Linked DNA regions of Xenopus tropicalis. The protein of the gene in region 2 binds, or shares a complex with, the protein of the main gene of each other region. Links are inferred from orthologs where the notes say so. Each region holds a gene or a part of one and is shown on either strand. Other genes may lie near its edges. The genes, in order: cdan1, asf1a and tlk2.

Evidence for each region.
Region 1: the proteins of asf1a (region 2) and cdan1 are in contact, whole or in part, in a cryo-EM structure (PDB 9CVC), measured with the Homo sapiens proteins. The link is inferred for Xenopus tropicalis from reciprocal best matches to the Homo sapiens genes ASF1A and CDAN1. Residues at the interface, in NP_054753.1 of Homo sapiens: Gln5, Val6, Asn7, Asn8, Val9, Val10, Val11, Leu12, Asp13, Pro15, Asn20, Pro21, Phe28, Asp37, Val45, Ser47, Ala48, Glu49, Ser50, Glu51, Glu52, Asp54, Asp58, Ser59, Val60, Leu61, Val62, Gly63, Pro64, Val65; in NP_612486.2 of Homo sapiens: Arg195, Arg196, Ile197, Asn198, Thr200, Val202, Lys390, Leu391, His470, Glu471, Glu472, Pro473, Gly474, Trp475, Asp476, Lys538, Arg541, Arg544, Leu545, Gln546, Arg548, Leu549, Met550, Ala551, Pro552, Gln553, Ser554, Ser555, Arg806, Lys807.
Region 3: the proteins of asf1a (region 2) and tlk2 are in contact, whole or in part, in a crystal structure (PDB 7LO0), measured with the Homo sapiens proteins. The link is inferred for Xenopus tropicalis from reciprocal best matches to the Homo sapiens genes ASF1A and TLK2. Residues at the interface, in NP_054753.1 of Homo sapiens: Val45, Ala48, Glu49, Glu51, Asp54, Asp88, Val92, Thr93, Val94, Leu96, Arg108, Gly110, Tyr111, Tyr112, Arg145, Thr147, Phe149; in NP_001271262.1 of Homo sapiens: Arg11, Arg12, Gln13, Leu15, Leu16, Glu17, Arg19, Phe20, Thr21, Gly22, Val23.

Annotation. Positions count from the first base shown.
Region 1 is NC_030684.2:105,928,730-105,933,294, forward strand, and holds part of cdan1 (codanin-1), read left to right. Parts: intron 1-301; coding exon 302-416; intron 417-972; coding exon 973-1,116; intron 1,117-2,543; coding exon 2,544-2,710; intron 2,711-4,224; coding exon 4,225-4,309; intron 4,310-4,565. UniProt on the Homo sapiens protein: May act as a negative regulator of ASF1 in chromatin assembly.
Region 2 is NC_030681.2:73,625,837-73,631,075, reverse strand, and holds the start of asf1a (histone chaperone ASF1A), read right to left. Parts: upstream 3,167-5,239; 5' UTR 2,839-3,166; coding exon 2,730-2,838; intron 1,342-2,729; coding exon 1,226-1,341; intron 1-1,225. UniProt on the Homo sapiens protein: Histone chaperone that facilitates histone deposition and histone exchange and removal during nucleosome assembly and disassembly.
Region 3 is NC_030686.2:15,272,106-15,276,670, reverse strand, and holds part of tlk2 (serine/threonine-protein kinase tousled-like 2), read left to right. Parts: intron 1-1,977; coding exon 1,978-2,088; intron 2,089-2,886; coding exon 2,887-3,023; intron 3,024-4,565. UniProt on the Homo sapiens protein: Serine/threonine-protein kinase involved in the process of chromatin assembly and probably also DNA replication, transcription, repair, and chromosome segregation. Phosphorylates the chromatin assembly factors ASF1A and ASF1B.

The DNA.
Region 1 (4,565 bases), on a different chromosome or scaffold from region 2:
TACTCTTTAATCCTTTTCTCTTGGGGTGTCTGTGGGACTCTGGGCTTGCCCTCTTGTTAAACAAAAATGACTAGATCAGGAAGTGGTGAGGTGTATAGCAGCAGCAGGCAGGAGTAGTCTTCCTTCTTCTCTAGTGTCCTGCCTCCTGCTGGCAGATGCTGTACTTCATGGCCCCACAGACATCCCAAGAGAAAGGGATTTAACAGTGAGTAACACAAATTCCCCCTTTTTTATGGTTTGTGTATGATCTCTCTAGGCAGAAATTCTGTTCTTGAATGTATCTGTCTGTTCTGGTTAATAGTTATCATTTTAATCAACATCTGATGGACAGCCTGTGCCAAGAGATAAAAGAACTGGATGGCATCTCTATTATTGGGCATGAGCCAGCTGATGGAGAATCTGATATGGATGAGCAGGTACAAGCCACTGTTTTTTCACCCATTCTAATTATTTAGAATTAATTTGCCTTACTTTGAACTCTGATTTGTATCTAGTGATTAATTGCATGAGCAATCAATAGCTACACAGCTTGGCGGAAAATAATTTCCTACTGTTTTGCATGTCAATAAACTGGAAACAAATGTGCGCACACTTCAGGCGATTGGTGATCAAAAATCTTGACTGCCATATTTCCAAATGAAAACCTGATTTACAGGTGCACTTGCAATTCCATGGTAATTGTGAGCATATTACCTGCCCGCAGAGTTGTGGATCACCTAAGAGAACAACTGCAAGAACTGTGGAAGGTTTTAGTGTTCCAGTGGATTGGCTAGATATGCTGCTCCTTAGTATGTCCTTTGCAACGTCTAGGGTAATATTAGGTTGACTGCATGGTATCATTAAAACTACTACATATTTGCGGTTTTGAATTGCTAATTGTTTGGTAGTGCAATTATAATTATTTCCAACACATTTCATACATTTTCTCTAATCCCAAAAAATAACCATAAAATTAACATGCCATCTTTGCAGGATGAAAAAATTCGTTTTGCTTCTGTCATCATGACCCTTCGTCTGCTGGCAAAGTTTCTGGGATTTATATATTTCTTACCGTACAGAACAACAGAAACGCTCACCAGTGAACTGCAAGAATCTGCCTTGGCTTTAAGAAACCAGGTAAAGAATAAATCACCTAAAACTCTGTATAGGTGTTCTAGTTTGGTCTTTTCTAGTTTTGTATGTATTTACAAGAATATTAGTGGTCTGCCAGTCTGAGCACAATGGGGAATTTTTATACAGGAATGAAGACACAAATGATTTCTGGCTGAAATCTACCTTGTGCTTGGTGAAAGGAGGATTGCATTCATGTCACTACACTCACGAGCTGAGTGGATAGGATCCTAAGTGTGCTGTAGGATAAAGAAGCCCTTCTTTGGTGGCCTAATGCAAACAGAACTAACATACTGACATCTACAAATTCAACCTCAGCATGTTGAGTAGGTCAAGTAAATGCAGTGCTGCTGACAGTCACAATGCAGAATTGCTCGGTTTTAGGATGAAATCTACCATGTGATTACTGACAGGGGGATGCTGTGCTTGTCAGTGCCTTTGTAACAGCGGTGGCAGTGGATAAACAATTTCTCCAAATACACAAGTGGAGAAGCTACCAGGTGACATTATCCATAGGGATGTATAATGTAAAAGGGATAGAGTGAAATAATTAAATAATACCTCAGTTTATATATACTAGAGTTATAACTTTAGTTAGAACTAAGCCTTTTTCAGCAACCTTCTCCTCAAAGCTTAGGCTACTGCTACACTGGACTGTGTCTCTGATTGTGTATAAGTGCCAGCCGAGAAACAACCCTTCCATTTCCTTCTGTGGTCCACCATTGTTTTCTGGGTGCAGACACAGGAGACTGCAGAACGAAGCAGAGGGGCTGTTTCATGTTTTGTGCTTATACGCAGGTCGAAAACAGCCCAGTGTTGCAGTGCAAACAAGAAAAACTCCAGTGCCATTGGCTAAGGTAAGAAACAACAAACTGTATATAGTGTTGTATTCTCTTTTAATGACACAACTTTTGTGATCCAAAGTATAATAATAAAAGTGACCAGTGGAAAACCCCCCAGATAACTAATAGGTCTTTGCACCGGGTGCCCGTTTTCAATTTTCTCCTTTTACATAAAACTACCCTACATAGGCGACTTGTTTTAGGTGCTGAATATTGGTTTTTAGATCTTTTTGGTTTTAAAGATTTGGGGTTTTTTTTCCACTGATCACTTGTATAATTATACTTTGTATCACAAAGGTGTGTTGTTAAAAGAAAATACTACACTATATACAGTTTGTTGTTTCTTCCCCTAGCCAATGGCGCTGGAGTTTTTCTTGTTTGTTTAGAATTAAAAGGATTTGTTGAAACTCCATCAACTTTGGCCGGGATCAGCTTGGAACTTTTTACACATAGATTTATTTATTTTTCCGGTGTATCAGTAGCCTTAGTATTCACCAGCATTAATTTGACAAGGCTCATAAGCAATAAGTACAAATACAAACTTTGAGTCTAATTGTAAATATTCACTGAAAATGTCTTTTACTTGTTCAGACTTTACCCATGCTAGACGTGTTGCAGCTGCTGAGGCGTTCAATGCAGAATTACCGTATTGTGCTGACTGTCCCATGGGTAGTAGAATATTTGTCATTAGTGGATCAAGTTGCTCCCCTTCTGGATTATTACAAGAAAGTGTTTGCACTATTGATGCACCTGTACAGGTGAGCAGCAGAGTTACAGCATGAGAACTTGACATTTTTGTTTTATTGCTGTTCAAGACAAATTAATTTTGAAGTAATATCTGTATAAAAATACATTTAGCCTTTTGCCTGCCAGGTATGTAGATTCTGTGTATTGCCAGGTAAAGGCTCAAAGTGCCAAATGAATAATCCACCTTTATTGGCACACTGAGTGGTGTACTTCACAGGCAGCTCTTTTTTTTTTTTTTTTTTTTTAATACCATTAAACTGAGTGACGTAATTGTACTTTGCATTGTTGTTTTATGTTTTTTGCATATAAAAGTGTAATTTGTTGAATCAGGTATTTTAAACACTGATTACACTGTGTGATTACTTTTCTTTTTTTATTGCATTTTTATGTTTGCATTAGAAATTAGAATTCTTGAAATTAAAATGCAATATCCACAGTGTGTGTTTGTTTGTTTGTTTATTCTTTCATATTATGCGCAGACGTTAGATACTATTCTACTCTTGTAATGCTTTGCATGTAATTGTAGATCAGCAAAAATTGAAACATGGCATGATACCAAAGTTAAAACACTGATTTCGAATGCCCAGAAAACCGTATTTAACCTAATTTGAATTATCCAGGAAATCCATTTCCCGTTTTTTTTTTTTCCCAAATCATTCATAAGACTGATAGAATGTCATTCGCTTATTGCCTCTTTAAAGCTTTCTTACTAGCTCTCTCCTTTTGGATCGATGCAAGTAAAATACATTGCTCGTAGCGATCCAAGTTAATTGCAGGGAAATGTGAAAGAAAACTTTAAATGCACAGTGTATTATTTATATAGCACCATCATCTCCCCAAAGCAAGGTGATACAAAACATAACACCCAAAATATAACACCTACAAACGGTGATATCTTACTAAAGCAGATACACAGTGCAGGATGTGTGAGTGTTAAGGACAGTAGAGGAGGGTGCTGCTCAGAATCAAAATAAGTTGTGTTTGTAGCTACACATCTACACATCTCTTGCGCCATGTCTTCTGAGCCCTCTGTTATACCCTGCCCTCACTCTCCCATTGCAATAATATGCAGATTTGTGGACTGCTGTAACAAGCCAAACACACCAGTGATGTGCGGGTTGACCTGCAACCCATGTGTTTTGGGTGCGGGACAGTTTGGAAAGTACACTGCTCCTTTTGGACCCTAAGGCATGCTCAGATTCAGCACACACAGCTGAAAGACACAGGACCTACAGTGGCAACAGTTTGCAGGTTAGGGTCGGGTGCAGGTTTAGGTTTTTCTGACCGGCTCACCACTAAAACACACTTAGGCCACTGAGCTGGATGTGGCAATCCTGAATATAATTATGACCTTTGGCCTGCTCCACTTATAATTTTAATAAACATTTATTCAATTATTTTATAATAATCTATTATATGGAGACTCATTGGGTCACTTCATGGAGAAAGCAGGCCTGTACTGTGCTCTTACCGTGAATGTTTCTGTGAAATGCTCTGATTAACAGATCCACTTTTATTATCTTAGGTACAAGCTGATCCTTGCTGAAGAGAGAGAAATGGGATTCCTGAATAAGTTGCTTATTCTTGCTGCATTGGGCTGGCTTTTTCAGGTAAAATTGTGCCACAGTGAAAAAAATGTTCTCTTCACTCATAAACAGATTTTGCATAATGAAAAAAATATAATTCTAAGCAACCTTCCAAAATATACTAATCACTTATTTTCTGTGGTTTTAAATTTATGTGCAATTATTATAAACAGTATTTGTTGATATTCTCTGCACTGATGCCTCTAACTCCTGAGACTTTGATGCAAGCCAGCTGATTAAGAAACAGCAGTTTTAAGAGTCAGATCCATGGAGGAAGAAA
Region 2 (5,239 bases):
AGTACACTTTTAAGGGCTTTGGTACATCGGGAGATTAGTCGCCCGCAACAAATCTCCCTTGTCGCGGGCGACTAATCTCCCTGTGTGCCAAAGCCCTTAAAGTGTACTAGCTATGTGGCTGTCAAACTTCAGTGGGGAGCAGTCCTTGACATGTTATATATTGACACACTGTCTGTCTGTACACGTAATTCTTGGGGGAAATTAGTCATGGTAGGCAGGAGCATAGAGACAGAGACATCAGTTCTTCAGGCAAAAAACACAAGTTTATTTTGGGGCAAACTCTACCCAACATAAACATCAGCAAACTGTTCATCATATATGTTCATGATTAGTACCCTATTTGGAATTCTCACCTTCCAGGGTAACTCTCATACTCTGGAACCTTTTCCTGGGGCTTCTCACCATCCCGGCCATCTCACACTTTGGCTTCTCACTAAGCCTTGTCGTTCTGGCACTCATACACATGGCTCCTTGCAGTGGCAGGCAGCACCCCCAGCCCCCTGGGAGTTCCTAACACAGGCAGGCAGCATTCTTGCTCTGTGTCCTACTCTGAAAGACCTTTCTCAGTGACTCCTGGCACTTGGTTACAGCTTTCTCTGCTCTGAGAGTGAACCCCTCTCTGTGAGTCCCCCTGTTTGTGGCCATACACGTAGCAATTCTGATGGTCACAGGATCGTTTGTTTCCCCCACAACGTTCAGGGCTGAATGTGGAGGTAGAAACAATAGGAATTCTACCTCCACCTGCCGATTCAGCCCTGAACGCAGATTTTGTTTGGGCGCCTTCAGTGGCACCCGATCAAAATCTTTTAACCTGGGTGATCGATGAGACAGCCAATATCCACAGCCTTTGCTATATCGGTTGTCTCGTCGATCCGCCATACACGCACCGAATATCGTTCAAAACGAGGTTTCGTACAATATCATTAGTGTGTTTATGGCCAAAATAAACATTACATCACCTGGCAGTTGTTTTTCAAACTATTGCAGAGTTTGTAAGAATTTGTATGAATTGTTTTCTGGAGGAGGAAACTTTGTAAAAATGAATGTAAAGTATATGCCATTCCACCGGCGATTCACTTTATTGCCAGAGGAAAGGCTTTTCAGGGAGATTAGTTGCCTGCGATAGCTGAAATGTAACCATGGGGGACTAATCACCCTGTGTGCCACCACCCTTAATGGTTCTTCACTAAGAAGAATATTTTATATAAAATCAATATCAACTTACCTGAAATACAAACATATGTCGGCCTGCAGGTACAGGTCCCACCAATACAGAGTCTAAAACCTGGTCATATTCTTCACTTTCAGCAGAGCCCACGTAAATAATTTTCCATTCTAAATCTGGTGGAAAGTATAATGTTAATTGAAAAGGAATGGGAAATTAGCTCTTCAGCTATCTATAAATATAAAAGTAGTCTCTTAGCCTGATGCCACACAGGGCTGATTCTCAGCCTGAGGAAAACTATTGCGTCAGTTCAGGTGCAGGCACTTGTAGCAGATATGGGTTGCTGAAATGAGAGGCAAGGAAGAAGGCTGATGCCAGCATAGGGACTCTGTTTTACGACAGGCCCTGTGTGGCATCAGCCTAAAAAAAAAGTTCATTAGATGACATCCTAAACATAGTGGGGTTTTTTTTTTTTTTTTTTTATCACCGTGGGATGGCATATGTATTGTTTCTGTCTTCTGAGTCTGAATTTTTCTTGTGAGGCAACTTTTGACTTTTTCAGTTCACATTTTTAGTAAATGTCAGACATTAATGAAAATGAATTTAGTCAGATTTTTAAAAATTGCAGCAGCTAGCTGTATCAATATATTGTTCTTCTGAAAGTGGAAAAATGGATGACAGATTTGATCATGGAGAACTGGACATCTTTCTAAGGTGACACATTTTCTTGTTGTTATTCGAAAAATTATTATATTCATAATTTTACCATTAATTTGGGTTAAAAAAGGACAACTGCCCATCAAGTTAACCATTTTTAAAGAGATTCATAGGCAGATTGTCAGTGTGTGTTTTTATTTACTATGTTGGGACAGTGATTATTAACGCACACAAGCGCCCAGTTCCATGAATATGTACATCTAAATGCCCCTGTGTTACTATTGAGTTTGTGCCCATTACACAGTGAGATGAGGGAGGGGCTATAATTCCACCTGTGACATAAAAAAAGATGAATGCAAGGAAGAATAAACATCTTTTCTCCCCATAACAATGCAATAAACATCCTTATTTTTGTATTTTCCCATGTATTTATATAATAAAAACTGCAGGAAAAAAAAAATAGAAAACAAGCTTTTGCTTTTCACTCCAGGCAGCAGGTCAGCATTATACAAGTAACCGCTATTTAAAATCTGCTGTCTTTGCACTGCAAGAGCCCCAGTGCAGAGGTCACATTGCGTGTCCTGCATTGTCTGTGTCTGTTTCACACTCATTAACCCGACCCCCTCCCTCTCTATCCACAAACAAAACATGGCTGCTGCTCCTGCCACCAGGGCACCTTTCAAACTTACTTTCCCAGTGTGTGCAGCAGCATTCCCATACACTCCCAGCTAGTGCAACCGCAAGTTTTTTCCCTGCTTGTCTACGTTAATGTGCCGGCATTTTATTCCTGTCAGCGCCTGCTCTGCTTCTTAGCCAAGCATCAGGCCTGTGGGAATCAGTTTAACCTCTTGTGCACTAGGATGCTTCTTTAGCAGACTGCCAAAAGAAAGAACTGATTGTAACTCACCTTCAGAAAGGTCCTCTATGCACTCAAAGGTGATTTCGAACTGGAAAGGATTGTAGAAAGGAGAAGGGTTATCCAGCACCACCACATTGTTCACCTGAACCTTTGCCATATTTTGGAAATGCTCAAACAATGGGGATGGTGTGAGAGTGCAGGCAAGACCCAGCAGTGCTTATCTGTGCAGAGCCCCTGTCACTGCTTCTTGCAGTTCTTTACACCAGTCCTGAGAAACTTTCTTCCAAATCAGCTTATTTGTTTGTTTGTTTTCTTTTTATTTCATCCATTGATTACTTTCAATGTGAGCAACTCCACTCTATTTTATTTATTATTTCTCCCCCCTCCCCTGCTCTCCTATCTTACTTCACTACACCACATTCTGTTCTGTTGCTATAACAGCGTGTGTCCGGATTGGCTGCTCCCTGGCCCTTCCCATAATGCTAAAAGCTACACGACAGAAAAAGACAGACTTCTCATGACCATGGGAGCTGGAAATGTTTAGCAGCTGCTCCACCTGCTGGCTGACAGCTCGAGCACACCTCAGGGAGGATCTCTCCGCACTGACAGGCTCAATAGTCTTGCTGCATCTGTGTTTCCTAGCGTCTGAACAGTTCAAAAGTAGTGAGCTTTGCCTCTTTTGGCACTTTGAGGCTTTCAACAAAAACTTCGCTTCTTTAAAAAATGTTTTTCTCTATCTCCCTGGTGTACAAATTAAGATATTCAGGGATCAGCTGAGTTTATCTCATAAGGATATGCATGCAACCAATTAAAGGCTGTTGCACCTGGGGCTCTGAATCCCCCCTGGCAAAATGTCCTCTGGGGAAAAGCTGTTAATCAGAATTTTTGTTTTTTTGGGGTTTTTTTTTTGCTCTTTATTTACTTTTATTTATATTTAAAAAAAATTGACAGTAATGTAGCAGTTACTTATAGGACTATATGGTAGAACCCCTATTTCTGGGAAAACATAAAAAATAAAATGTACCTTGCCTGTATGGGAGGACAAAAAAACCTGCCAATTCTGGGAAAACATAAAATTAGGGTTCAACCATAGTAAATTAGGTTGAAAAAAGACACATCCATTAAAGGAGAAGGGAAAGTAAAAACTAAGTAAGCCATAAGCACTCACAGAAACACTGCACTGAGTCCTTCAAAAGAAACACAGGATTTCTTGTGATTGCTTGTTTTTTGTGAAAATGTTCTTCAGTATCAGACTTCCTCTCTTTTAGGGCTCCTTCAGGTTTGGGGCATGAGTCTGCTCAGTTCTTTTACTCTCCCTCTCCCCCTCCCTTCTGCTTCCCCCTCCCATAAGAACTCCCACCCTTAGGAATGTGTGATTCGCGCTACCAATGGCTATAACTGCAGCAGGAAGCTACCAAGACCAAGCTAAAATGGCAGCTGCTATCGGAGGGAGCTTCTAGGGCTCTTTACTCAGGTATGGTAAAGCTTTCTGCTGAATAAATATAGCGTTCTAGGTGGTACTAATGTGGCAAATCTATTGGCAGTAAAATGCTAAAAATTGCTTTTCTTTCTCTTTCAAGTTCAACCTTTTGTGTCTATATATAACCTGCCTAATTGCTAGTTGATCCAGAGGAAAGCAAAAAAAAAAAAAAACCCTTCTAAAGCCTCTCTAATTTGCCTCCTGGATCATCTAAAACTATTTTCAATGACCATGTCTATCTAATGTATCTGCCAGAAGGACTGATTCATAGGGAGAATTTCACAACTTCACATCTCTCGCTGAAAAAACCCTTTCTGAATATTTAGATATAATGTCCCTTCTTTTAATTGAAATGGATGCTTTTGTGTCTGCTGGAAGGACCTACTGTTAAATAATTCACTGAAGACCAAAACTGCATGGCATATTCTAGATGGGGCCTTACCAGCGCTTTGTAAAGTGGGAGAATGAGCCCTGCCTCTAGCAAATCTATGCCCATTTAATACAATTTAACACCTTGTTTTCCTTGCAGCTGCTGCCTGGCATTGCTTGCCACAGCTAAATTTATTATCTACAAAGACTCCAAGGTCCTTCTCTATGTCATATCGGGGAGGGATTTGTCGTGGGCGACTAAACTCCCTTGTGTGCCAGAGCCCTTAATGGTATAAGTAGCTTGCCTATTTTTACATCCCAGGTGTACAACCTTACATATATCTTACATTACAGGATGCCACATCCTGGATGAAATTAATTGGGCTGAATTGGCTTGTGCCATTTGCAAACACTGATACATTCTTTATCATGCCCTCCCTTAAGTCATTAATGAACAAATCAAATTTATCTAACATGACTGTTGGACCTGCTCTATTCTGGGGTATTTAACTATTGAACTGAGACAGCCCGGTTTATTAAATAAGTGATATATTTATTTACAAAAGAAATAAAAGGTATAAAATAAGGAGGGAAAATAACTAAAATGGAGGAAGGAAGAAGGGAGAGGAAAGGTGCAATGGAGGGGAGAGGAAAGTGACTAACTAACAAAGTATTTACAAATGCTGTTTATATACATGATGAAGACCAT
Region 3 (4,565 bases), on a different chromosome or scaffold from region 2:
GTGGTGTATAGACTTTTGGATACCCACGAAGCGATGTTCCTGGCTCTCCGAAAGGAGAAAAAGGGCTTATGTGCCAGGATATCATACAGCACTGGATCCTGTAAAAGTATACCCCAATGCTTATTGACACTCCTCTGAATGTCATACACTCCCCGTCCATAGGTAGTGCAAAATCTTAGATTATTTCTGGGATGCCGTTTAGGATCCCTACCTATTTTACTGGGATTCAAAAGGTCTGATCTGTTAGTGGCTACAGCCCTCTCGTAAGCCCTTTTAATAACCACTGTTTTATAGCCCCTCTGGACAAATCTGTCCCATAGCAACATGGCCTGTTCCTGGAAGGCATCCCATGTGGAGCAAATTCGGCGAATGCGCAAGAACTGTCCCACTGGGATGCCCTCTATACATGTCCTAGGGTGGCCACTATCAGCATGTAAAAGTGTGTTACGTGTTATAGGCTTACGATACAGATCAGTGGTTACTACATCATCCTTAATGGAGAAAGTCACATCCAAAAAAGGTATCCTTGTCAGATCTGTTTCATAAGTAAAAGTAATACCCTGTACAGCTTTATTACAATAATCAATGAAGGATAGCAATGAAAATGCATCTCCATCCCATATTCCTATACAATCATCAATATAGCGATAAAAGCACATGATCTGGCTGCGGAATGGGTTTCGATCCCCAAAGACGTGGAGCCTCTCCCACCAACCCATGAATAGGTTGGCATAAGTGGGGGCAAATGAAGCTCCCATCGCGGCCCCACGTCTCTGGAGAAAGAACTTCCCATCAAAAAGAAAATAGTTGGTATATAAAAGGAAATGTACTGATTGTAAAATAAAATCCCTCTGTTCTGGGGGAAAACCCCCTTCCTGATCCAGCCAAAATTGGATAGCATGCAAGCCAGCCCCATGATCGATAGACGAATATAAAGCTGTAACGTCCATGGAAAACCACCTGTAGGTTGGCTTCCATTTCAGGTCAACTAGCTTATTGATACACATAGTGGTGTCCTTTAAAAAGGTTGGCAATTGTAGCACCAAAGGCATTAGTAGCTTATCCACATAGCCAGATAGACCTTCATTCAAGGACCCAATGCCGGCCACTATAGGTCGACCTTTAACATCTTGCAGAGACTTATGGACCTTCGGGAGAACATGAAAAATGGGTATGGTGGGAGAGATACAGTTGAGAGACTCATATTCTTTCTTAGTTAAGACACCTATAGACATCCCTTCTAGTAATAGCTCATTCAATGATTTCTGGAACCGGATCGTTGGATCCTTATCCAATGGGACATAGGTGTCCAAATCTAATAACTGACGCATCACCTCGGCCTCATACATACCAGCATCCAAAATTACCACCGACCCACCTTTGTCTGCAGCTTTGATCACAATATCCTTATTGGCGCTCAATGACTTGAGTGCCTTAACTTCACCATATATTTGACATCTCCCTGTAGATCAGTGGTTCCTAAATTATTGGTATGGTCCTGTGGCAAACCTGGATCAGTGGCTTGAGGGTCTCGGCCTATATGCCACTTTGTGTGAAATTTGGGAACAGTTCCTAATGTCCTACATACACCTAAACCAGTCAGTTATGGTGCTGTTTGTGACGCACCAATATTTACCAATATCTAAACCTATAAGTAGGGCCCTGACCAATGGTTGGACCTTCAAGGGGTGCATAAACCAAAAAAATGATGACTAGATATCCTCTCTCTAGGGCTAGGCTATTACTCTGTTACAAATAAGTAGTGTGTGTTCTAACAATGCTTAATAAGAAGCACAGTAGGATTGGGGTAGACTACCGCATCTCGGGAAAGATATATCTGCCTAAATGTTGATTGAATGGCATCCTGCCCTTTTTTTATATAAAGGTGCTATTGTAATTGCATATACTTGTTTTTCACACTACATGTCCCCTTTTATGACTTCTTTTTTTGATTCCTGACTTTTGTCTCGTTTTTAGGTAAACTGTGACCTAAGGCGACAGATGGACGAGCAGAAGAAAATGCTGGAAAAATATAAAGAACGGTTAAACAGATGCGTGACAATGAGCAAAAAGTTGCTCATAGAGAAGGTAAACATTTACTTTAATAAGCATAAGTAACGTGAAACAGCAAATATCTGTTGCATAGATTCCTAAACATTTTCAGCTTTCCGTGCACTGTGTAGTAACTTAAAATGGTAGGCTCTGACCAAGGCTCAAAAGCTGCATTGGGCAAGAAATTTTGTATGTGGTATATAAATCTGCATTACCTGATATGATTCAGTTGTTAACTCGAGAGCCAGAGGATCAGATTTTCCTTTACATAAAGCCATCACATTTCCACAGAATTATTTTCAATTCCCATCAGTCTATGCTCCAGTGCAGCTTACAGTGTAAAGTCCCTTTAGACAGTTAGACAACACAGTGGGGTTAATTATGTCTGAAGCCAATTAACCTGTTAGTTTTGGTCCCAAATATGTAACCTTACATTTATCAGCACTAATCTGCTGCTTAGCCAGATTGCAAGATTGTATAGATCCTGCTGCAAACAATGCCACATACTGTATGAACTTAATTGGCCTGCATAGTTTGTCTCCCCAAACACCAATACATTGCTTACTATACCCAGCCCCAAATCATTAGTGAATAAATTGTAGAGCCAATACAGAACCCTGTGGCAATCCAATAATAATTTATTTTTTAAAGTATGTACCACTGACACATGCTTTTGCCAATTTTCTATCTATATACAAATTGCATTAACAGGACCAACAGAACTTAGTTTAGAAAGCAGTTGTTTATGCAGAACTGTGTTTAACTTAGTTGTAAGCACTGGTGAGAGCAAATTTTTTTAAGCTTTCTGCAAACAACTTTAAATTCTCTTTCCAGTCTAAACAGGAGAAAATGGCTTGTCGGGATAAAAGCATGCAGGATCGCCTGCGCCTGGGACACTTTACTACTGTCCGACATGGGGCCTCTTTCACTGAGCAGTGGACAGATGGTTATGCCTTCCAGAACCTTATCAAGTAAGAAATAGTCTGCATGCAGTGTTTGTACTTACTGTGATTACAGCACTTACAGTGCAATGATCTTAAACTACTGCATTTTTTACATGCATAAACTTCTGTCATTGATTTACATGATAAACGTCTGATTTTTATATACCACAGGGCGAAGCTCACCTTCACAAAATATGTATAATATGTATTAGCAAAGAGAGCTTTTCATGTTTTTTTCTTTCTAATGTCATCTAAACTGTCAAAACCCACCACAGTCTAAAAATAATTTCACTTTACCAGTGGATGGTATTCAGAAGACAGTCAGGAATCTCTCAGATATGATATGATAAGTCCACAGTTAAGTGTCTGGGAGCTTCACCCTTTTCTGACACATCTTAACCTTCCAGATCCAAAATCTCACTGTATGTATTTATCAAGGCCATGTCTGCTATTATGTGCTGTTGGAGGTGCCCACTGTGAAATTGCTCTTCTGAAAGCTTAGAGATACTGACATCAGAAATAAAACCTTCTTATAAATCATAACATTGTTTTTGCATGCCATTTTTTGCCCAATGCTTTTATATTACCTACAAGGGGGCTACCATATTTGTACAGCAGTTGGCCATTAGCATTAGAAGCTATACCTGACAGGTCGAAAAGGGACAGTCAGATTTAGGAACTTTAAATTACAATTTCTTAAAAATGCAGACCTTTACTAATATTCATGCCAACCAGATCAGTAAAGGTTCCCGTGTAGTAGTCTCTCTTTATACAGCCAAAGCCTTTGACTCTGTCCAGTGGCTTTATCTCCTGAAACCTCTTTAGAACCTTACTGTTTAATGCCAGGAAATGTATTCTCATTCAATGGACGGCACATCCTCCCCCAACAATCGCCAGTTGGCTCAATTAGCTTAAAGCCCTTCTACCACTGATACAACCTACTTACACAGCAAGGGGGTGCCCTCAAAAATATGTCAAGGTATAGGGACAATGGGCTGAAACTATAGAATAGCACCATATAATCTTGTCCTTGGGAATGTGAACCTCCACCAAAAATCCTAAAGTCTTCCCCCTCCTTAGCAGAAGTTTGAACAGTACCTCGAGTAGGTTGTTACTGATTACAAAAAACAATGTATTCATAGACATGAAAATGAAAAACTCTTGTAGAACTAATGTCATAATGTTGTTGTTTTATGTTATTAATGCATGAATAAAAATCTTTGGGAAAAAAAAATGCACATCTGTCGGCAAAGAACAATTAACATGACCTATAGGTAATTTTTTATGTACTCATATTTTGAAGAGTAGGCTGCATGCAAATATGTGTTCCAAAATGTTGACATTCTCCTATAGTTCCCTCCTCTTCCAAAATTCCAAGCTTCTGAGCGTACAGTCTATATCAGTGACCCCCAGCCCCCCCCCCCAAGTGACTTGTGAGCAATATATTCTTCACCCCGCCCCCCTTTGAGGATGATACCAGGGGCCTCAAAATTTTGGCCGATCTTAAATTTCTGGCTTGGATGCAAGTTTTGGAAGCGAGACAGACTCTGCTACAGACGAGCAGTCCAC